Oryctolagus cuniculus: one gene and its partners. The protein of the gene in region 3 interacts with the protein of the main gene of each other region in a biochemical or structural test. Links are inferred from orthologs where the notes say so. Each region holds a gene or a part of one and is shown on either strand. Other genes may lie near its edges. The genes, in order: GTF2A1, E2F1 and TBP.

Evidence for each region.
Region 1: the proteins of TBP (region 3) and GTF2A1 form a complex in vitro, tested with the Homo sapiens proteins (7 studies listed by BioGRID and IntAct, with this or other methods). The link is inferred for Oryctolagus cuniculus from reciprocal best matches to the Homo sapiens genes TBP and GTF2A1.
Region 2: the proteins of TBP (region 3) and E2F1 form a complex in vitro, tested with the Homo sapiens proteins (2 studies listed by BioGRID). The link is inferred for Oryctolagus cuniculus from reciprocal best matches to the Homo sapiens genes TBP and E2F1.

What each region holds. Positions count from the first base shown.
Region 1 is NC_091451.1:27,041,249-27,044,895, forward strand, and holds part of GTF2A1 (transcription initiation factor IIA subunit 1), read right to left. Parts: intron 2,616-3,647; coding exon 2,411-2,615; intron 857-2,410; exon of another isoform or gene 713-856; intron 285-712; coding exon 220-284; intron 1-219. UniProt on the Homo sapiens protein: TFIIA is a component of the transcription machinery of RNA polymerase II and plays an important role in transcriptional activation. TFIIA in a complex with TBP mediates transcriptional activity.
Region 2 is NC_091442.1:24,381,375-24,385,121, reverse strand, and holds the start of E2F1 (transcription factor E2F1), read right to left. Parts: upstream 2,666-3,747; 5' UTR 2,531-2,665; coding exon 2,285-2,530; intron 1-2,284. UniProt on the Homo sapiens protein: Transcription activator that binds DNA cooperatively with DP proteins through the E2 recognition site, 5'-TTTC[CG]CGC-3' found in the promoter region of a number of genes whose products are involved in cell cycle regulation or in DNA replication.
Region 3 is NC_091436.1:37,277-41,023, reverse strand, and holds part of TBP (TATA-box-binding protein), read left to right. Parts: intron 1-234; coding exon 235-402; intron 403-1,903; coding exon 1,904-1,998; intron 1,999-3,251; coding exon 3,252-3,331; 3' UTR 3,332-3,747. UniProt on the Homo sapiens protein: The TFIID basal transcription factor complex plays a major role in the initiation of RNA polymerase II (Pol II)-dependent transcription.

The DNA of each region.
Region 1 (3,647 bases), on a different chromosome or scaffold from region 3:
AAACAGAAAATTACGTAATTTTATGAAGCTTAATGCTGAAATACCAAGTTAAACTTTAGATCTGCTGCTAAATACAATATATAAGAAACTAAATAAAATATCTGTCTTGTTCAAGTCTTCAATAAACTTCAAGTTGTTAATATACAACATACCCAGGCAAGATCCCTATCTGAGTTAGAAGACGCAAAGCCAATCAAAGTGCTACACTATGAGTCTTACCATGTTTGATGCATTCATGTGCTGTATCAGCTTAGAATCAGGAACAATAACTTGAGGTGCCGTGGCTACAAAATAATTAAATCAAATAAACACACATGGAAACAAGGAACCCTAAGGCTATTTCATAATCACAAGTATGTTATTTAATGCTGAAAACTTTTTCTGCATTTAAATGCCCTCAACCCCTTGATACTTCAAAATGTTATACATTTTACAGCATTTAAAGCTCTAGTATAACTGTATCATAACAGAAAACATCAATATTTAAGTATTTAAGTGATAAATTTGAAGGTTGCAAAGGAATTCAGTAAGATGAGGAAATGAAATACTTATCACAACAGCTACTAATTCATTAGGAACAAAATTCAGTTATAACTACTTTTTTTAATCTACAATCCTTTTCTCCCAATTTGACAGTTGCTAGGATGTTACTAATTGTTCGAAAAGTAGAAATTGAAAATAATGGTGATGTTACTTAAGTGTAAAAGGCATTAAATGTTTGATTCCGCAAATTTCAGAGAACAGACAGACAATCCCATTATCCACATAATCTCTGAGTGAAGAAAATCAAATTTTAATTTATGATGACCTAAAATCCTAATGCCAGGCTTGAAAGCATTAGGAGGAACAGTCATCAGAAAAGATTAAGAGTTAAAAATATTTGATAACAAAGGATAGATTTAAAGCAGATATTAAATCTTACTTTATATAAACAGCAAAACAACCCAAAAAGACCTTTCCACTGTGTATCACTATCATTTTTTTCACTTTTTTTAAAAGAATTATGTATGTATATATGTATATATTTGAAAGAGAGAGAGAGAAAAAAAAACAGAGAGAGACTGTGAATTCACTGTTCACTCCTCAAATGCCTACAATAGCCAGGGTTGAACAAGACTGAAATCATGAACCTAAAACTCCATCCAGATTTCTCAAGTGGGTGGCGGGGACTTAAGTACTTGGGCCATTATCTCCTGCCTTTTCAGGTGCATTAGCTGGAAGCTGGATCAGAAGCAGAGCAGTCAGTCAGAACTTCAACCAGTACTCTGATGTGGTATGCAGGCATTAAAAGCAGCAGTTTAACCTGGCTGCTCCACAATGCTTGCCCTTCACTATCAATTTCAAGTCATACACATATATATGTAGGTTAACTAAATGGTTACCTTAAAACAAGCTTTTCATTTACCTTCTTCTCCAATAACAATCAAGATTCACTGAATTAGAATACTTAGTAAGTTTTTAATTGAACATAGTTGTTATGACAGAAAATATTTGCTACATATAATGGATCATGCTTCTCAGCCTTTTTAAGGCCCAGATTTGCCTCAGCTATGAAGCAATGGAGCTAAGAACTATTTCATAGAGTTCCTAAAAGGAGTCAAAATGAAGCCTCATCTTTCTTAGGAGATAGCAGGTGATGACTCAAGTACTTAGGCACCCGCCACCCATAAGAGAGAACTGGATTGAGTTCCAAGCTCCTGGTTTCAGGCTGTCCCAGCCCACACTGTTGCAGGCATTTGGACAATAAACCAGTAGATAGAAGGATCTCTCTCTCCCTTTCTCTCTCTCAGCCTTTCAGTTAAAAATAAATGAAAAACAAATAGTTTTGCATTGTGCATTGTTCATACCTTTAAACAGAGTAATAATATACATCAAGATATATAGATCAACTATTCACATAAAAGAAATTTAATTGTTAATTTAGACACAGAAATTACCATGGTACTGAATTTTCAGAATGCCAACATATGGTTCAAAACTCAGGATTTAAGACATAAAAACAACACCAATATCCCTTTGAAGGAAAATGTTTCATGAAGAAATAACTACTTTACTATATAAAACAATGAAATCTTAGTTAAAAAAAAATTATAAATCTGACTTAAATTTTAGGAAAGCCACCACTATATGTACTTCCTAAAAAACATTAGTACAAGTATCTGAATACTATTTTAGGGTTTCAATCAGGTAATTATTTGTCTATCACTATTCTACAAATAGGACTCACATTTTATACAAATTTATATACATAAAAACATACATAGAAAAGGGAAAAACAAAATCAGTACTTTTTTTTTTAGGTTTATGAAATACCTTTTAAAAACAAGATCCAAGTGACCTAGAGTATTTCTAGTCTTTTAAAATGACCAACTTAATTTCCAAGTAGTTAGGAAAACAGATCTAGTCTCACCTTGCTGTGATGCAGGAATAAGGACCTGCTGGGTCTGGGCTTGCTGAGGTACTGTCTGCTGAGGCTGAGCTTGCTGATGGTGGTGGTGGTGGTGATGCTGTTGCTGCTGGGGTTGATGTTGCTGTTGAACTTGCAATAAAAGTTGTTGCTCTTCTGAATGAAATCCATCTACTGCTCTAGACTGCATTAGTTTATTCTCCCACAACTAATGCAAACAACATTAAAAGTTTAAAAATGAAAAAATAACTCAATACATGGTCAAACATATTTTTACTAGCTATTTATGGAATTCTTCCATTTAAAAACTTACATAGCACAAAAATATAACCTCAAATCTCATCTAAGTGCAAAGGATAATGAAAACAATTTTTTAAAGTATCAAACTTCCTCTTTGCCACTTTAGCAACCTAAAGAAATTTTTGTTTTTATCTTCAACCATCTTTTCATAGCAACTCTTTAATCATCAGCTATTATATAGCACAGAGTTTCAGAAAAAGATTATCCTTTGTAGTATCAGAACCATTATGAAACTATCTTTATGGAATTCTTCTCTTCAAGAATTTTATTTATTTGAAAGGCACAGTGACAGAGACAGAGATCTTCTATCTACTGATTCACTACCCAACTGGCAGTAATGGCCAGGACTGGACCAGGCCTAAGCCAGAATCCTGGAACTCTATCCAGGTCTCCCGCATAGGTGGCATGGGTCATCTTCACTGCTTTCCCACGTGCACTAGCAGTGAGCTGGATTGGAGGCAGAGCAGCTGGGATTCCAATCAGCGCTCTGATTTGGGATTCTGGTATTGCAGGCAGGGGCTTAAACCAATGCACCACAATCCTTCACAGTACTCAGAAACTCTGTTGTTTGCCCCCTTTAAAAAAAAAAAAAAAAAGATTTATTTATTTATTTGAAAGGCAGAGTTACAGAAAAAGAGGGAGACACAGAGAGAAGGATTTTCCATACACTGGATCACTCCCTAAGTGACTGCAACAGCCAGGGCAGGATGAAGCCAGGAACCAGGAGCTTCATCCAAGTCTCCCATGTGGGAGGCAGGGGCCCAAGCACGTGGGCCATTCTCTGCTGCTTTCCCAGGCATTTTAGCTTGAAGCGGGATCTGAGATGGAACATCCATGACATGAACAAGAGCTCATACAGGCCCCCAGCATTGGAGGCAGCAACACACCACAACAATGACCCAAGGAACTCTTCTGTCAATTCTAAGTAAAGAAAAAACAA
Region 2 (3,747 bases), on a different chromosome or scaffold from region 3:
ATAAATCTTAAAACAAAAACCTCTCCTGATGCTCGTCTGCCAAATCCTCTCCACACGACCTTCTGTGGAGCCTCGCTCGTGACACGTCTGTACCTCCAAGCCACAGCCCCGGCTGCCCCTGCCCCCACACCTGCTGCTTCCACCTCTGGTGGGCACTGGGCTTCACCAAGTGGCTGCTGAATGAACCCCTGAACCTCCTCACAGGCTGGCCATTTTCTATGATAAACATGTATTAAAGTGGAAAACGTGGACTTTTCAATGGCCATTGACAATGGGGTGTGGCTAGAGGGGCAGAGTCAAGGGGAACAGCTGAACTGTATACAACCTTGTATACAGCAGGTGCTCAGTGAATGGTCACTGGTAAAGAAGCAAAGTCTGTAGTTTATTTCAAGGACAATTCCCAAAAAAATATCAGTACAGCAAGTGGAGGACAAATGCTGGGCCTTTCTGAGCCAGTCCCCTTCCCCACACACCCACACCCAAAAACACCTCCTGGCACTAAGGCCTGGGTGGGCAGAACTCCATAGTGGCCCATGCCAGCACCTCCTGGGCACTTACTCCTGGGCACTTACTAACTCAGCACGCTCGGGCTCCTGACGCCCTGGGGGCAGAGCGGAGGGCGTTTCTCCCTATGCCACGCCTCCCCTCTGAGCCCTGAGCCCACAGCCCTCACCTGGAACTCCGCTCCCCCAGCTCAGCACCCACCGGCTGTTAGGTCTCTTCAGTACTGGGCCTGCTAAGCACTTGTCACCTGCCCAGCTTCCAAGCTGGCCCCTGGGGGACAGGAGACAGGCCAGGTGACCCACCCCTGGGACACCCTTCCCCCCCCCTCCCCGCTCTCAGGAGGAGGGTCCCCAAGACCTTCCAGGGCTTTCTTCACCCTCCATCAGCTTGGTAGATCCACTGCCCCGCCACTCACCAAGCGGAGTGGGGAAGGTCCTAACACCTCGAGGCCTCAGCCTCCCACCTGTGCAGGGAAGGCTGCTGACAGGGTTAAATGAGTTAATTGGGTAAAGTGCTTGGCACAGAGCCTGGCATACAAAACATCCTCAAAACAATGGCGGCCACTATTGTTATTATTATTAGCATCTTGGTGATTCCGGAAGGAAGGCAGCACTGGGCACAGTGCCAATGGGGTTGAGGGGCCCTCGCAGGACGCCTCGGGGACCAGCTGCCACCCACACTTCCATCAGCAGTAGAGCAGCTTCGAACTCCTAGTCCTGGCCCCTCCCACTGCTCCAAGCCCCCTGCTGAGACCCCATCCAGCCCGGCCAGCCCCTGCCTGCCTGCCCGCCCGCCCCACCTTCACCCACACCCTGTGCCCGTCAAACTGGTCCCCACACCCTGTCCCGCGGCCCACAGGTCCGGGCTCCAGACCTCCACTCCCTTCTCCCACCGGAACTCAGCCTCTCTGGGCTCCCCTACAAGAGCCAGTCCCGAGCACCGCGCTGCTCGCTCATCGGGGAGGACTTTCCAAGGGACCTCCCTGGTTGGCGTCCTTTCTCCTGGCAGCCAGCTCCCAGAGGCCCAGCCCACCCAGCCCTTCCACAGAGGCTCGGGGTCTGCCTGCCTGATTAATGAGGCTCCATGGCAACCAGGGTCTGGGAGGGTGGAGGGTGGCAGATGGAGGGGATCAGCAGCTGGCCCGGCCACCCCGCCCCTGCGGAGAAGGCCTCCCAGCCGGGAGCCTGTCCCCAGAGGCCTGCAGGGCCAGACTGCACCTGGCGGTCAAGCACGGGGCCGGAAGGAGGGTCTCCTCCATGCTGCCCCCTCCAAGGGTCAAGCCCCAGGAGTGTCCCCAGCCCGCCTCGCCTCCCTAGGCAGCCTTGCCCACTGCCCCGCCCCTAATTCTGGTCTCAAGCCGGCAGGCCTCAAACCCCAGCCCGACCACCTGCAGCCCTGAGACCAGGGGCGAGTCACTTTCCCTCTCCGGGCTCCCCCAGACGGCCATGGTGACAACTCCGAGCTCACGGCGGGGTTGTGAGTTTTATTTAGCTGGCGAGAAATCTGCCACAGGCTGGCACACAGTAAGCGCCAACTGAATACACGTGGGCTATTATCGCTCAGGCCCACAGCCCTGAGGAGCCAACAGGGACCCGCCCGAGGTCACCACGCACCCCGGGGCGGGGCCCGGAGGCCCAACCCAGGCTCTGGACCGCCCAGCCCGGGCGCCTCAGTCCACCCCTCCCCCGCCCCCGCCGCCTGCGAGCCAAACACCGCACCCGCCCGGGTGCGCGCGGGGCCGTCAGGCAGGCTTTCGGCCCGGCGTCTCCGGAGTCCGTACCGGCGGGCGGCCGAGCGCCGGACGCGGCGCGCTGGGTGTGGGTCGGGGCGCCTGCGGCGTGGCGAAGAGCAGCAGGTCGGGGTCGTGAGAGCCCGCGGCGGGGCCGGCGGGGGCCGGCGGGGCGCTGGCGTCCTGCGCCGCGGAGATGATGACGATCTGCGAGGAGTCCAGCAGCCGCAGCGCGCCGGCCCCGAGCAGGGCCTCCAGCGCCGGCGCGCACGGGCCGCCCGCGGGGGCCACGGCCATGGCGCTCACGGCCCGCGTGGCCCAGGTGGCAGGCGGCGGCGGCGGCGCGGGCCCATGGCGACAGGCCCCGGCGAGGGCTTGATCCCGCTCCGCCCCCGGCCGCCGCTGCCTGCAAAGTCCCGGCCACTTTTACGCGCCAAATCCTTTTTGCCGCGAAAGAGCCACGAGCCGCCGAGAGCCGCCACCATTGGCTGTCCGCGCTGTGACGGAAGCGGCGGCGGCGGCGCCCATTGGCTGCATCGAGCACGGCCGGCGGCGGAGGGCGGGACGGGGCGGCGGCGCGGAGTGGCGCGGCCAATCGCAGGGCGGGGCTCGCGCAGGCTTTGTCGGGGCGGTGCCCAGCGAGCTCGCACTCCCCACCCCCAGCACGGGCGTCCGCGCCGGAGGCGTGCGGACTGGGACCCCGCCCCGCCCTGACACACCCCGTTCTGCTGATTCCTCTTTCCTGAGGCTTAGGCCGCGGGGCCTCGGTCCTGCGCGTTTTCCGGTCAGCACAGCCCTGGTGACCCGCCCCCAGACCCTCAAGCTAGGGCCCCTCCACCCTCAGCCCAGGTCTGCAGACACCGCCGCCGCCTCCTCTGTGCACCCTCCAGAGATGCAGCCCCATCTCCTGTCCTCGGCGGCCCCCACCTAGGCCATTGCCTCAAACTCCTCGCCGAGCCCCAGCCGAGGGGGCTACCAGGAAGTGCGGGGGGCCTCAGTTCTGTTGCCGCGCGGCTGCGGCTTGCGCTGCCTCTGTGGTCCCCTCCTTAGTGGCGGCCCTGGCTGGGGCCGTAAGGGGCGGCGGCGGACAGAGAGGTAGCAGCTGTTTATAGCATGAGGAGGTTTCGGCCATGAGAGACCTCACAAAGGGAAGAGGCGAGGCTGCCGGGCGTGGGAAAACATCTAATCCCGAGGCCCTGAGACACCTCCATCAGCACCTCCCACTGCTCAGCTCGGCCGATTTGGCCTTGTGTCTGCACTGGGGACAGAGATGTGAAAGACGTCCTAACTGTCGAGTTTGCCTGCTGCCTGGTGAGCGTGGCCCACAAGCAAAAAGTAGCTAGGACACAAACAAGAGTCAAATACCACTTCTTCCAGGGAGCCCTCCGGAGTCAGTTACTCACTTCTTCCACTGCCGGCTGCGGCCTCTGTTCCTGCAGTTGCCTCCTCTCCCCGCCTGGGAGCTGCAGTGATTGCTACTCCCAGCTCGGACTGGTCCACGAGCCGGCGCTGGG
Region 3 (3,747 bases):
CTAGGGCTGTCAGTAATTCAGTGAATTGAAAGAGAGCATTCTGTTTTCTCTGGAGGACATAGGAATACTTGACAATAAATTGTTAATATCTGTTCTTTTATCCTGTTGAAAGGAAGATGACCAGTTTATGTGTTATTCATTTCCTAATTTGGAATTTTTAATATTACTCATCTAAATATTTATGTTAGCTGGATTAGAGTATAAAGAACTTAATTTTTTTTTTCTTTTTTCTAGTGAAGAACAGTCTAGACTAGCAGCAAGAAAATATGCCAGAGTTGTGCAGAAGCTGGGTTTTCCAGCTAAGTTCTTGGACTTCAAGATTCAGAACATGGTGGGGAGCTGTGACGTGAAGTTCCCCATACGGCTGGAAGGCCTGGTGCTCACCCACCAGCAGTTCAGCAGGTGAGCGGGGATGTACTCTGCTTGGGCTGGGACACATTTGTAATCTCCTTAGTGTGTTTCAGGATAAAACACAAGCCAGCTATGTAGGGAGTAAGAGCCGGTGAGGCATGCAGAGTTGTGATGCTGTCTCCCTATCAGCCTCCTCCTGCCACATCGGTAGCCATACCCCAAACTCCTCTGCACTGGAATGAACTTGTTTCCACTTCTGGGTTTTACCATTTTATGGCTCAGCAAATGCTTGAGTTGAATCGACAGCTTCTTGCATTAGTTTTTCCCAGTTTGAATCTTTCCTTTTAGTCAACATTATATCAGCTCTGCTGACAAAATGTGAAGTGGGTGATGGGAACATTCTTTCCATTTATTTGGGAGACTCGAGGCAGGTAGTCCTTCCCACCTTGCAGCTTCTTCTCAGCGTCACGTGGTTCTCTGTGTCCCTCGACTCACCATGCTGTGCTGCAGGCTCATTGACCAGCATCAGCGTTCTAGGAGATGTCCACTTGAGTTCAGATACCCACCCTTGCTGCCCTTCCTCAGAGAGGCCACTCACAGACACAGGGACACCTGGTTTTCAGAACCTCTGAACTAGAAAAATGAGATTATGAAGTTAGAATAGGAGGTAGCAACAGTCCATTCGATCAGACCATGTAACTGGAGTATAGTATCTGGTGTGTCACATAAATTACTTGGCCAGAATTGACAGCTAGAGGATATTCCATTTAAGGAAGTGAGATAAGATTGAAAGCAAAACTGTCTATATCAAAACAACTAGGCAAGTGTGTAAAGGTTCCCAACACATAGACATGATAAGTGAGGAGATGGAAATGCTAATTACCCTGTTTGATCATACACCTTGTGCAGCTGTATCAGATTTTCTTACTGTACTCATAAATATGGACAAATATTCAATTAAAAGTAAATTTAGAAGTAGGCAAATTGTCAATGTTGTATTTTAGAAATAAAAGATTTGGGGCTGGTGTTGTGGTGTGTGTAGTGGGTAAAACTGCTCCATATCGGCGCCAGTTTGAGACTCAGGTGCTCCATTTCTGATCCAGCTCCCTGAGAATGCACCTGGGAAAGCAGTGGAAGATGGCCCAAGTGCTTGGACCCCTGACACACCCATGTGGGAGACCAGGATGAAGCTCCTAGCTTTGGCCTGGCCAAAGATCTCTCATTCTGAACTCTGCCTTTCAAATAAATAAATCAATCTTTAAAAAAGAAATAAATGATTTTACGTAGATTTATCTAAACTCAGGCAGAATCACTCTTTGTAAGAACTGCATTCTACAGAACAAATGCACAGCTCCTCTTCTCAGCAAGAGGAGCTGGTGAAGTGACAGGGCAGCCAGCCACTGGCTGGTCCAGGTGTGGATGCAGCTCCGGCTCGCTTGCTGTAAGTGCTCTCTTCCTGGATGTGTTGTGCAGTGAGTGGGCTTGTTGAGGTATTAAACCCTCAAGCATGGGAAACTTCATTTCTAATCTGTTTTTGCCGTTTTCCTTCTAGTTATGAGCCAGAGTTATTTCCTGGTTTAATCTACAGAATGATCAAACCCAGAATCGTTCTCCTTATTTTTGTTTCTGGGAAAGTTGTATTAACAGGTAAGTTCAAATGGGAATTAGCACCTGAAAGTTTGAATGAATTTAAAGGTGGGCATTTTCTCAGAGCTGAAAGGAATTTCACAGCATTGAATAGTTGGCTACCAACCTTTATCTTCTTTCCCCTACTCTTACTCTATGAGAAAAGTACCTACTGCTGGGAAGAAATCAGAGCAGGGGGATGTGACAAAGCCCTGCTGGGCCTTCAGTCAAAGCATGACCTCCATTTATACTGGGGAGGGGAAATGAGCCTGGCATTGGGTAAGAGCAGGTATCTTCCATGGGTTTGTCAGCAGTGTCATGAGAACAAAGGGAGATTCAGAAGCACTGACTTGAAGGCAGTAGTTGGGACGTTAAGATCCAGTCACTCTCGCTGCTGCCCTGCCAGGTTACTCTGATTGTGTAGCAATGAGCTGTAGAGTGGGAGGCTGGAGTCCCCATAAGCATTGCTGTTGTAATGTAGAAAATCATTTTAAGAAAATACTTTAGAGGGGCTGGAATTGGGATGTAGCTGGTAAAGCCGCTGCCTACAGTGCTAGCGTCCCTTTTGGGTGCGGGTTTGAGTCCTAGCTGCTCCACTTCAGATCCAGCTCTCTGCTATGGCCTGGAAAAGCTGTAGAAAATGGCCCAAGGCTGGCGCCGCGGCTCACTAGGCTAATCCTCTGCCTTGCGGCACCGGCACACCGGGTTCTAGTCCCGGTTGGGGCGCCGGATTCTGTCCCGGTTGCCCCTCTTCCAGGCCAGCTCTCTGCTATGGCCCGGGAGTGCAGTGGAGGATGGCCCAAGTGCTTGGGCCGTGCACCCCATGGGAGACCAGGAGAGGTACCTGGCTCCTGTCTTCGGATCAGCATGGTGCGCCAGCCACAGCGTGCCGGCCGTGGCGGCCATTGGAGGGTGAACCAACGGCAAAGGAAGACCTTTCTCTCTCTCTCTCACTGTCCACCCTGCCTGTAAAAAAAAAAGAAAGAAAAAAAACTATGAAAAAAAGAAAATGGCCCACGCCCTTGGGCCCCTGCACCCACATGGGAGACCTGGAAGAAGCTCCTGGCTCCTGGCTTCGGATTGGCCCAGATCCAGCCATTGCAGCCATCTGAGGAGTGATTGGGGTATGATAAGGGATGCCACCATTAAAGTTTCAATGCCTATAATTGTAAAACTGAGTATGGAGAAAATTGTGCTTGCAGTTTTGTTTTAAGATAATAATTTTACCACCTTAAGATGTTGAGAAATGCGTTTTCACACTCTTGCCTTTGTAGGTGCTAAAGTCAGAGCAGAAATCTATGAAGCATTTGAAAACATCTACCCTATTCTAAAGGGATTCCGGAAGACGACGTAATAGCTGTCATGTACTTCTGCCTCCCCTACCCACATGTTTTTTAAAGAAATCAGTTTGGTACCTTTCAATGGTGGTGTTGAGAAGATGGAGGTTCAGTTGCAGGTCACGGCACCAGGCGATGCTCTTTCGAGTGTGTCCCGCCAGGGGCCCTGGGAGGGCATTGTTTCTGCACTGAGAACACCACGCAGCATTACTGTGAGTTGCTCCTACTGTGCTGCTATCCGGGCAGTGCTGCCCGTTTATTTATATTTAGGTTTTAAACACTGCTGTTGACAAGTTGGTTTAAGAGACAAAACTTTTAAGTGTTAAAGCCACCTGTATAATTGATTGGACTTTTTATTTTGTTTAATTTTTCCCCATAAACCAGTTTTTATATTTCTACCAGGAAAGTAAAAATCTTTTTTAAAAGTGTTGTT